2 linked regions of the Caenorhabditis elegans genome follow. The protein of the gene in region 2 purifies or fractionates together with the protein of the main gene of each other region. This does not show direct contact. Each region holds a gene or a part of one and is shown on either strand. Other genes may lie near its edges.

Region 1 (7,253 bases), on a different chromosome or scaffold from region 2:
TCCAAGCAAGTTTTTGAAGACGAGCCAACAAATGTTGTAATGTGGCTGCTCGTTGTCTGTATCATCATGTTTATGATTATCATGCTTCTCTACGTCTACATCTACTGGCTTCGTTCTACTTTCGTGGCAATTGAAGAGAGAGCTCTTCCCACTGAGGTTAAATATCGTCGATTTTTCTTTAAAAATATTATATTTTCCAGTTCGAAACGGAGGCATCTCTATTTGTCGCCAAGCAAAGAAGTTTCCAATCAGCATACTACGATCCTGCTCTTCTCGATGTTTCTGTCGACAAATGGAATTAATTTATTTTCCCCACACTTTTATCATTTTCAGTTCTAGCAATTAACTCAAAACCTGTTCACTGTCCCTTTTTATATAATAGTATACTGTTCTTCCCATCTCCTATCACACATCAACTTACTTGAGTTTTATTTGTTATTCAGTTTTATTTGTTATTCATTTACCCCTGTTCCATTCCTTTTGCACATCTCCTCTGCAGTTCTAATTTATTTTGTAATTTTTGAATTGTGAGGAAAACTTTCATTGCTTTTCCAACCAAAATAAATAAGTTTAAGAAAAAAGAACCCTGTGATGGCAGATAAGAACATAGGTCAATGGGAATGGCCAAAGGCGCACCGGAAAAGAGAATCCGTAAAGAGAGAAAGTCAGAAAAGTGAGAGAGAGAAAATGTCAAAGATAACAAAATGAGATCGGAGTTGGAAAATGGAGCAAAAATGACAAAATGAGCAAATTATGACATGCTGGCGATTTCATATTTTTGTCGGCGAACAATGAGAATCACAATTGTCGTTGTGATCAGGATTAAGGCCTGAAAATGAAAATTAATATAAAAATTCAGGCTTTTCAGCGATGTCTGCTCTGAAAGTATCAAACATGGTCTCGCCACGACTGATTATTTGAACTCCAAAGTGTGTGCGCCTCCGAGGAGTACTGTACTTCCCAACTTGTCACTTTTTTATAACTTCTCTCCTGTTGCCTCAAAAGTCTTTGAAAAACTATAAAGTAAGAAAAGTTAAAATAATAATGCAAGCATTACTAACTATTTATTTAATTTGATAAAAGATTCAACAAAAAAATTTGGAAGTATAGTACTCCTTAATGAAACACGTTTGCATTTGAAACATTGGTCGTGTCGAGACCGTATTTTTGGGCAAGAAATCGGAAAATTGATAAGTAATAGACATCTTAACTTTTTCTTGGTTCCTTCAAAATCATACGAGATTTTTGAAAATTACGAAAACCGTAGAAAAACTTGGTAAGTACTCACCACTGTTAATAAAATACTAACAACTAGAACTGATCTAAAATCTGCACATATTCTTTCTTCGTCAAGTGCCTTCGATTCTGAAGCCTCTTCAATTGATTCAGTTTCCACGTGGATATCCGGACATGTGTGTTGAATTGGTGGTTCTGTTGGGTGTGGAGTCATTGTAGATGATGTGATGTTGATCAATTGAGATATTTCTAGATTTTGACTTCGAACATCAATGGATGGAAATTGAGATGAGTCTTCTCTGAAAATGGTTTTAATTGTAAAATATTTCGTCAAGATAAGGATTCATTTAGCGGAAAAATCTCCCGACGCTACTCTCACTTTAAATAATACCAAATTTTCAAAAATTATCAGAATGCCTAATAAACTAACGGTCCATAAGATCAATTTTCTTACCTTTTCCTCCTCATCAAATCACATTTTGGTTTAGGGCATTCCCCAGTTGGAAGTTGTGGATGAAGACGGACTTGACATGCAAAATATACAATTGAAGTATGAGATACTCCAAATACTTTAACAGATGTTCCCACATGAGTTCGATTGTGATATTCAAGTTGTGGCATTATTGATTCATGTTTTGAACATCCAGATGAATCGATTACTTCGTGAGTTTCTTCACCACCAACAAGCTCACAGTTTTCGATCATTATGCATGACTCCTACAAAACTTAGTACGTTGGTCAATTTGAACATTTACGAACGATACTGGTGACTGTTTTCAGAAAAAAAACCCAGAATTACTTCATAAAAATAAACATTTTTAAAATTTTTCAAAAACTTACATAAACATTTTGGCACTGCCATGAATGATAAACGTCTTGTCCAAGAGCCAACCGACCGGCAGGTAACCCTCCGGGACTTGTTAATACTTCATATGAACAACTTGGTCCTTTGGTATCTGATGGAGGAGGTTTTGGAGATCCAATTGCCAAGGAAGTTGATGTTCCATTTATTTTCTTTTGATGGAAACATTGCATATTAAATATTCGATCATCTACAGTTGTGAATTCTGGATGAAATGAAACTGATAAAGATACTTCTAGAATTACTCCTGTTGGGTGCAGACTTCTGAAAATATTTACAGTTGAAATATAATTTAACTAAAACATACCTCCTCCGTGGCACCATACATTCCTCATGGGGAATCAGAATCTCAATTTGATTATTTGTCACGAGGCTCTGCAAAGCCTCACGGGTTATGAAATTTCTTGTATTTTTATGATTCCGTTACCTGAAAGCATGCTTTGTCTGGAGAATACTTAACATCCACATGACCCAGAAATGTTGATTTTGTGCGAAGCTTAACGTAGATTGCATCTGCTGCGCAACTGGAATGTATGTTGAAATAACTCAGAAATCAGAAAATTGAGTGTTTGATAACTATTTTTTTTATTAAACCGTATCTGTTTTATAATAATTTTTATATTTTTGGTTTCTAGATATTGGAACCTAAATTATCAAAAGACACTACCAAAAATTGGATCTGAGACTGATCAGGTTTCAGGTCAACTGATCATAAAGTTTTAACAATTGTTTCCTAATTGAAAATTACGAATTCTTTTTATGTGAAAAAATATTAAAAGGTAGGCAAGATTAGATGTTTCAAATTTTAAATAAGGTTTATAAAAAAAGAAGAAATTACTAGGTACATGAGCATTTCAAAAATATTTGTTGAGCAAATCCTAGGAAACAACGTTAAAGTAGATGTAGGTTGCCTTCGAAACAAGTTACAAATGCCTAGGCAGGCATTTTCAATCCCTTCAAAGAAATATTCAAATTCATCTTCAACTTCTCCTTCCTTTTTACTTTCAAAAACATGTTTTTTCTTCGTTTTTGTGTCAAATACATATATTCCGTATTTTCTATTCTCAACCTATTCTTCTTTTTCTTTCCTTTCCGTCATTTTGAAACCGCAATCGAGTTTGAAACCCTGCTCTTCTTCGTCCCAAAATTGAATCAACTCGTCGTTTTCTTTTTTGCTACCTTATCCTTTTTTCTTGCTCGATATCTTGATCAAGGATCAACATTTCAGACCCACTTTTCATAAAAACTCATACTTTCCGCAAACTAATATGTAAATCGGTGGTGCAATTTTAATATAAAATACTCGAAAGATGATGAGGTTTTTACGGAAGAATCTTGAAATAGTCTTTTGAATCAAGAGACGCAGTACAAATGTTTGAGCAGGCTCCCCTTTTTGCATGGAGCTGTCTTGTTGTTTGGTATTGCATAAAATGAAATGAAATGGCATTCGATTTCGACCACTGAATGACGGCTTCCGACCCAGAGTAACATGATGGTGTAGGGTCAAAATATACATGATTGGATGCATGTGCAAACCAATTGTTATTATACGTTTGACACAAAAATTGGGTCTACTAATATATACACAATATTATTTACCAAAATTTGGTCACTTTTATCTTTTTTGTTATTGGCTTTTCTAGAAAATAAGCTTAAGAAAATAGAAAGAAAAACATCTTTGTCAAAAAAATCAATTCTGATTTCTAACTTTGAAAATCTGGTTTGTGTGATTGATACCTATCGGGAGATAGTTCAACATCTAATAAATACCTAAGTTTTCGCTCGATTATTTTAACTTCTTGCTCTTAACGATAAGTCAAAAAACCCCATTTTAATGTATCTTTCATCACAATTCAAAAAGCGAAAGGCATGAAAAATCTGTGTATTTACCTGTACTATACAAATATGCTCAAGAAAATTTTACCGAGCCCGATTTGAATGAAAAACGTGAAATTTGAGCAATCTGGCAAACAAAATGAAATTTGGAAAATGACAATACTAATACAGTGGAACTGTATATCCTGGTTTTGAAAAGATACCGCACGGATATTAAGTTCAGACTTCAAAGTTCAAAATCTACAGTACTCTTTGTCTGACATATGTCGCCTCTTTTTGTCATTTTCTTATTTCCTTCATTCTTTACGAAACAAACTTCCGTTCAGAAACCCATTTGATTTCCTTTTTGCCTAAAACCTCTGCGCTTCTTCTTCCAATACACTAACTTCAACATTCCGTTTAGGCGGTCAAATATGCAAATGTGATACTCTTCGCCTTTTGGAAACCCCTTTCGAAGCCATTAATCCTGCGCATTGTGACACCAAACGTACGTAAAGGAAAGCAAGAAAAAGAAGCAGCGTCTACATTAAAAATAGAGCTCTCAAAAGGATAGGATATGTACGATTGCAGCTAATCTTGAAAGATGGGATAGATTTTAGTTGATTACTTCTGTTTTAATTTCCACAAGCTTAAGGGAAGCTTCAGGAAATTAAAGTTGAATTTCTGAGTTTCGGTGGTATTCTGGATAGTTCAGAAAATCTTTAAGCTGTTTTAAATTTTGGAATAAAATGAATTGCGCCAATAGCAGAAATATGCGTTTAAAATTAGTTAGAACTAATGTTAGAGCCAATCATATTGTGCGATTTTTTTCTAAACTTTTTATTAGGAAAATGTTGAGCTTGACCACAAACTGGCAAATTAAACCTAATTCGAAAACGGATCATTGATATAGGTCACCAAAAACATTTTTCCTAAAATACTAAAAATATCAAAGCTAATTTTGAGTAAATTTCCGTGAGTTGTTTATTAGGCTACAGGTGCTTTACAAGCTATACAATAATGTCAAAAATCACAATGGTCACTTTCGAGAAAAAAAATCTATAGATTTACGTCTGCCGGCTTCATCACATTTGAGGCTAAAAAATTTCACGCAAAACCGACGATATTATTTAGATGAAAACATAATTAAATTTTCTGCCTCTTCCTATATTAAATCCGGAAATTGCATTCTTGACAGAAATAAAAAATAAGGGCAACTTTTCGACAGGTGAGTGTCCGACAAAAATGTACAAACTTTGAGCTTCAATAACTTGGCTCATTGCTGGCGCTTTTGCATTCACTAAGTGCGAATGACTCAAAAATAGTTGCCCCACCATGGTCATTATTGAGGGAATTGGTCACTGAATAATCGTTAATATACAATAACCCCATTTCGAATCAAAAACCTCAACTAACCTGACCGTAGGCTCTCCTAGAACCTCATTTCTCGGCGTTGGTTCTTCATCTTGACACTTGATACCGGGTCCGTCGAAACACAATAAAAGCAGCAAAAGCATCGAGAATCGCCAGTTCATCACCGATTTATGTGCTTTATTTGGAGAATCGCCACAACACGAGCCGTGGGCTCCAATTCTGGTGTGCCGCCGCGACAACGACTAGGGGACGATGACGGCCACGCCCACAAAAACGTTTATTTTGGTGTGTAAGAGAGAAAATGGAGAGGAGAAGAGATATTGTATGAGAAGAAGAGAATTAGACATGTCAACGAAAAAGGTGAAAAGGTGAGAAAATTCTGAAGAATATTTATGAGAAGCCAGAAAACACAAAAAGGTGTCAGACTGGTCAGAAACATTGAAACGAATTGGTAGAGACTTGCAAAAAATCGGGAAAATGCTGAAGGCCTCCAAGGATTTCTTGTAACCCGCATTTTCAGTCATTTGAGCAATTCTGAGCAAAATTCATAAAAACTTTCATTGTCAGCTTTTCAAATTCAAATCAATTCCTCACCACTCTAATTTGGAAGAACTGGAAAAACTGGAAAATATTTTCAACATGCTCTCAGAAAGAGATACCACTCAATTCTTTTCATTTTCCTGATACACTCAAAAGCGGCAGAAAGCGTATAATTTGTGTCATTATCTATACTTATAACACATGGTCATTTCCATTTCACACTGACAAACAAATATTTGGCAATACATAATGTGGCTTATTTACGACGTCTTGAACAACTTGACTTGATTAAAAACTCCTGTGGGTTTATAAATTGAGTGAAAAGTGAAAAATGATTGAAACATGTAAAGGAAATCGAAAGTTGAATAGGTGAGAAATTAGGTCGTAAAATGAATATTTCAGCAAAATGTTGAAAAAGGTTGTGATGAAATAATCGAGAAAAAGTTTATAGTAAACTTTTAAAAAACGAGCGTTATCAAAATGTCAATAGTATAGACATACTTCTTGGATTAAAATAAAAAAAATTTCAAAATCAATGTTTGGGAATGATTAGCTATAAGATATTTGGAGATCTTTTAAACTTGAGCGGAAAATGTAAAATTCAAACTTTACCCAATTTAATTTTTGAATCCAAGGGCCTATGATGAATATAAATTATTTCAGAAGTAAAACATTGGACTGAAAAGGCCTAGAGGACTGAAAATGAATAGGCGGTGAGGAATACCAAAACTACGTTAAGCTGTATTGGATCTAGAGTTTAGAATTCAACCTCTGCTCTTTCTTATACTCTTTACATTTTTCGTATTCTTCGTCTTTTTCTATTCATCTGAAATGTGAATCCTATTCGGACTGAAATTAGATTATCTTTGTAAAAGGGATATGTAATGCTTTTCCAAAAGATGTGATGCTTTCTCTCCAATAAATGTGACATAATTAATGCGTAATAGTGATTTGAGGAGTGGAATGGATAACGATGATGATGATGCAGGAACAACAATAAGAAGAAGGTGATCAGATGAGATGGGCGGTACACATTGAACATTAAAAAACGGTGGAAAAACGAAGCAGAAGCTTGCGCAATCCAGACAGATAAACGAGATGGTTTGTAAGAATGGAAATTAAGAATAAAAACCGTTGATATTTTAGAAGGAAACTATGCAAACCAAACCAGAAGATAACTGGGGAAAAAAGATGAAGAATGCTGTCATTTCCATGTTTTCCGAATTATTACAAATAGCAAAATGAAGGCCTGGAAAAGGAAATGAGTGGTCAATGTCAATTTATATATACAAAAGTATTTTTTAGTAAACCCGTAATTTAAAATTATGATAACTAACAGTATAATTATTTTGGAAATATCAAAGAATACAATCTTTAAACTTATTTTTATATAGATTGTATCTGCCATACTAAAGTTTTTGTCAAC
Region 2 (4,643 bases):
GAACTAAAACCCACGTTGAATTTTGACTTTCGGCTTGCAAGAAAACGATGTAAAACAAGAAACGACGAGAATAATACGAAAAACCATGTCTGGCATTTCAAAATCTGTGACCTACTGTGAATTATTCAGATTTTCTATTACATTCACATCGGTATTTGGCACATACCCCCACCCACACTAATCTTTTGGTTTCAAAAAATTGCTAGACGCAAAAGTTCAATTGAGAATTTGTACAAAGACCAATTGGAAAATAAATCATGAACTTGCACGATTGATGATGACTGGAACTGCCGAAGTGTTCAAAAATTTCTGAAAACTATGAAAAATTGTAGTCTTTGAGAGAATGTTTGTGATTAAGAAATATTTTTGACAAGGTCGGAATCTACACTTTTAAGGAGCTTTAAAATGCGGGCGATGTTTTTTTAAATTAATTTATTGATTATTTATTTAACATTTTTTTCTCATCGAGTTTTCATTATCAATAATATTAATTAATGAGTTTCAATTTATTTTTTATGAAATAAAATTATGAAAATTTGCAGATGATAATATTTATTTAAAACACAATTTAATCGATATTTTATTTAAAGAACAATAAATTGGATCGACGCAGCACAGTTTTCAGCAATAATGCAAAACGATGGACGAGTGATGTTTGTCGGGAATTGGGTTTCGACCGAGAAATCGAGAAGCACTTTTGATTCACTTGTTGGAGGAGATGTAATTGCTTTCAGAACACAGTCAGGGTTACTTGTCTGGAATTTTGAAAAATGCGAAAATAGCTTTAAGCATTATTCGTATTTAGAAAATTTTAGGATGCTTAATTTTTAATGTTTTATGTTTAATGGAAATTAATAAACTTTTTTTAAATTCCCTACTTCTTTTTTTTAAATTTTCACTAGGAACTGGAACATTTTTAGATGAAAACATTTTTTTTAAATTTGAACTACTAGTCTTATATTAGAAAATTTTAGAGAATTGATTTGGTCAGGATTTTCAAAAAACCAAAACTTTAAATCTTGATCAATTTTGTGCAAGGCTTCATTCAATTTTCTTTCAATTTTCAAATTATAATCCAAAACGAGCCAGCAATATGTTATTTTTTACAGTAAAGTTAATAATAGTTTTGTCAACAGCAAAAATATTTTGCCCATTACTTTACATTACAGGTTTCCTAAATGACACAAAACATGCATAATGTTCCTAATTTAACTGTAAAAATAGTATAGAATTTTTCAAAAATGTTTATGACTTTTTCAATTTTGCAACAAAAATGGGCTGAATTAGTTTTGAATTCTCGGGCAAATGAGTGATCTAGTTTTGTGAAATTTATATTTTATTTTAGTTCAAAAAATTCAATTCAACAATAATTAGCTCTTTTAAAAATTTAAGCAAAATTGAAAAAAAAAACAATTTTGAAAAGTTTTGGTGGAGAGCGTATTTGGAGCTAAATTCACGCTACTCCACCTTCATGTTCTCACCTTTTCCATTTTCCAAATCATAACATAATCTCGCATTGAAATCATTGTGACAATTTTCTTTTTCTTTTCTCCGACAGTTGCATCAATATCCACTTGATTCAGATTCATATAGCCACTTGCCGCTGTATATGAATCATATTGTTGAGCTTGTGACAGTGGGACAAATACAATTGAGCTTCTCGAAAACGTGTTATCCAATCCAAGAACAGTAACTTTGTTTCCTTTACTGATATAGTTTTGGTACAAAAATTGAGTCATACGGTAGATTGCTAATGGGTTCTCCAAATCTCCTTCAATCAAGAAAAAGTTGTACAAATTGTCATAGGGTGTCCAGCCGGAGTATGCGATGGAAATGGACATCTGAATTACGAAGTAGGAAGAAGTTTTTTTGTAAAGTTGGGTCTTCTTGAGGTTTCTATGCATAATTAAGATATGACTGCCTGCACGGCGAACAACGCACTTTTCATGCCTACACTCTCGCGGATCAATTTTTGCCGTAGTCGGCATACTCGGTAAATCGCTATATTTTTGGAACACAAAAATAGTAAAGTGAACGAAAAAGCTAACTATAACTACGCAAGTTTTCGTTTGATATATGCATAATATGCGTGTCGATTTATCGAAAATAATTTTAATTATTGAATCAAAATAATTAAATAGTTTTGGACGAAAATTTTGATTAAAAATGTTTCGTGGGAGAGAAAATTTTCAAAGTTGCTAATAAATTCAAATTAAAAATTCCCCACCCTCTCCTTTGCCACAATGGTTCGTGGGCTCCAGCCGATTTCAGCTTGCAAAGTGTACAAGCGAGAATATTGCATATCTGGGTTGTCCAAATAAGTAACTGTCGCGTTGTTCACTGAAATGTTGTTTCGAAATATTTCAGATTACTCATATTTGTACTTACATGAATAATAGTCAACCACCATTCGGAACGATGAGTGCATATTAACACTTTTCGTGGAAACTAGGAAACTTGTGAGAGTATTTGGAAATACATAGAAAGTTGCATACTTTCCAGAACGACTAAAATTAAAATTCCTGTTTTAAATGTTACATTTCAAAGCCTACCTGTTGATGAATGTCTTCGCGTTTTGCTCATTTGTAACAGTTATCTGATCATTGTTTCCATTCAATCCGTTTTCCAGAACAACACGAGCATATACCATAGCTGGAACTTTGATCTAGAAAGGAGTTTTTAATAGTAAAACACCCTGAAAACACCGTCCCTACTTACATTATAAAGACAATTAAAGTTTGGTGGAATTAGCACTGGTTCCTTGGCTCCCGCTGGAATAGTCGCATTATGTCTAGGGACAATACCACCAGCCGGAATTTGAGTGCAGTCTAAAAAAGAGCTGATATTCTAGTTTTACCATCAGTAAGCTTACCTAACGCATTCGAAACTCCAACGAAGACTAAAAACCACAATAATGTCTTCATTGTCAATTGATAATGAATAGTTCTACATATTTAATTTCAACTTTTTTATATTCGAATCGGTTATCTCAAATGCTCTTTAATGTCACCGTTTTTCTGCTCTTCCGCGGCCAAAATGAAATCATTTCAATGATTTGATCTTTTTTGGAGGATGTGTATACAGAATCTACACAATAGTTTGATTTTTTAGGACAGTTTGGCACAAACTGATAAGCATCCATATCAATTTTTGAATCTGATTTCATTTTAAATCTGATAAGACATTTCTGATAATAGTTGTGTGGGCTGTGGTTTTGTAGACTTTCAGATAATGCTCCACCGCGCTTTGGAATAATTTTTAATTCACAATAAATGTTTCCTGTCTAGTCTTCTTCATGTACTGTTCACATGTTTTCCGATTCTGGGTACCTATGCTAATTCAGTACTACCAAACCTGATTTTATGCGGGAAGATTTGAGTGTACCCGGTGCAAAATTGAATTGAATCAACGACCAATTTTTGTTATTTCCTTCATTTTCAACTAATAATGAATGGTTCTACATAATTAATTTTGCCACTTTTTATATCCAAAATACTCAAATGTTTTTAAATGAGAGCATTTTTCTGCACTTTTCTGCACAAAATGAAATAATTTCAATGACTTGATTTTTTTTTGGAGGATGTACTACAAATACCACAGAATAGTTGGATTTTCAGGACAGTTTGTCGCAAACTGATAAGCAGTAGATCAATATGATTTCATTTTGAATGTGATGAGAAAAATCAGGTAATGTTCTAAAAGCAGATTATTAATTGAGTGGTTTTCTGATTGTCTGAGATTTGATAAAATTGTTCATTTGACAAGTCAATTATTCAAGGATTCATTACACATAACGAATTAATAACTGTACTCTGACATGGTAAATATTTATATTTTCCTCTAGTAGATCCTGCACTCAAGTCCATTGAAATACAATAATCCAAGCCATCATTCGGTTTTGTAGGTTGGCCTTGAGACCAGTTTAGATAACCACTGGATTCAGTGTTGCCAATCCAGATTTGACGTGTTGTCTCATCATTTGATCCAAAGACCCCTTAAAAATCGAACAGAAATGGTGGTATTTTCCAGTGCCTTCGTTAAGAGTACACTTGAACGTTTTTTTTTATTGGATTTGCAAAACTAATTTAACTGAGAAAATGGTTAATCTACAGTGCGCAAATATGGGAAAAAATTCAGAAAATAAGCGGTAGGCAAGCTTGTAGGTCAAGTACGCCTGAATTTTTGCCTGCCTATAAATATGGCCGAGTTTTTTTTCCCAGGGCACGCAGCAAACTTTCCAATTTTTGAAACAATTTTCTATTTTTGTTTTCGTTTAAAAAACTGTAAATACCCGGGAGATGTCGGTCATCAAGGGTGTCAATGTCCCGTAAAAATTACAAAAACGGGACAGCGGGACGTCCCGTTTCCGTGAAAACACACAAAAAACGGGACAACGCGATAAACGGGATAAGGGACTTGACACCCTTGGTCACCATAACCTAATTGAAATTCTTACTGGAAACAAAATCATTTTCTTCTCCACTAGAAATTGTAGCCATTGTTCCATTACACCATGTACAGCTGTCTTCGAACTTTACAAGACCCCGGCACATCTGAAAAAAATCCATTTCCTCATTTCAGATTCTTTGAAAATGTTACCTTGTAGCATAAACCCTTGAAATTAACCGCTGGAACCGGGCAAT

Evidence for each region.
Region 1: the proteins of irg-4 (region 2) and cutl-15 fractionate together in Caenorhabditis elegans (co-fractionation; one large-scale study listed by BioGRID). This does not show direct contact.

The regions. Positions count from the first base shown.
Region 1 is NC_003280.10:8,942,137-8,949,389, forward strand, and holds cutl-15 (ZP domain-containing protein), read right to left. Parts: upstream 5,553-7,253; 5' UTR 5,449-5,552; coding exon 5,330-5,448; intron 4,427-5,329; exon of another isoform or gene 4,282-4,426; intron 2,623-4,281; coding exon 2,526-2,622; intron 2,474-2,525; coding exon 2,406-2,473; intron 2,363-2,405; coding exon 2,077-2,362; intron 1,954-2,076; coding exon 1,691-1,953; intron 1,536-1,690; coding exon 1,289-1,535; intron 830-1,288; coding exon 752-829; 3' UTR 520-751; downstream 1-519. Other genes in the region: T21B10.4 (uncharacterized protein), read left to right, coding at 1-156, 201-302.
Region 2 is NC_003282.8:12,434,132-12,438,774, reverse strand, and holds irg-4 (CUB-like domain-containing protein), read right to left. Parts: upstream 2,943-4,643; 5' UTR 2,925-2,942; coding exon 2,873-2,924; intron 2,829-2,872; coding exon 2,719-2,828; intron 2,666-2,718; coding exon 2,553-2,665; intron 2,508-2,552; coding exon 2,389-2,507; intron 2,341-2,388; coding exon 2,228-2,340; intron 1,842-2,227; coding exon 1,482-1,841; intron 756-1,481; coding exon 585-755; 3' UTR 539-584; downstream 1-538. Other genes in the region: clec-185 (C-type lectin domain-containing protein), read right to left, coding at 15-96; clec-184 (C-type lectin domain-containing protein), read right to left, coding at 3,774-3,994, 4,457-4,553, 4,600-4,643.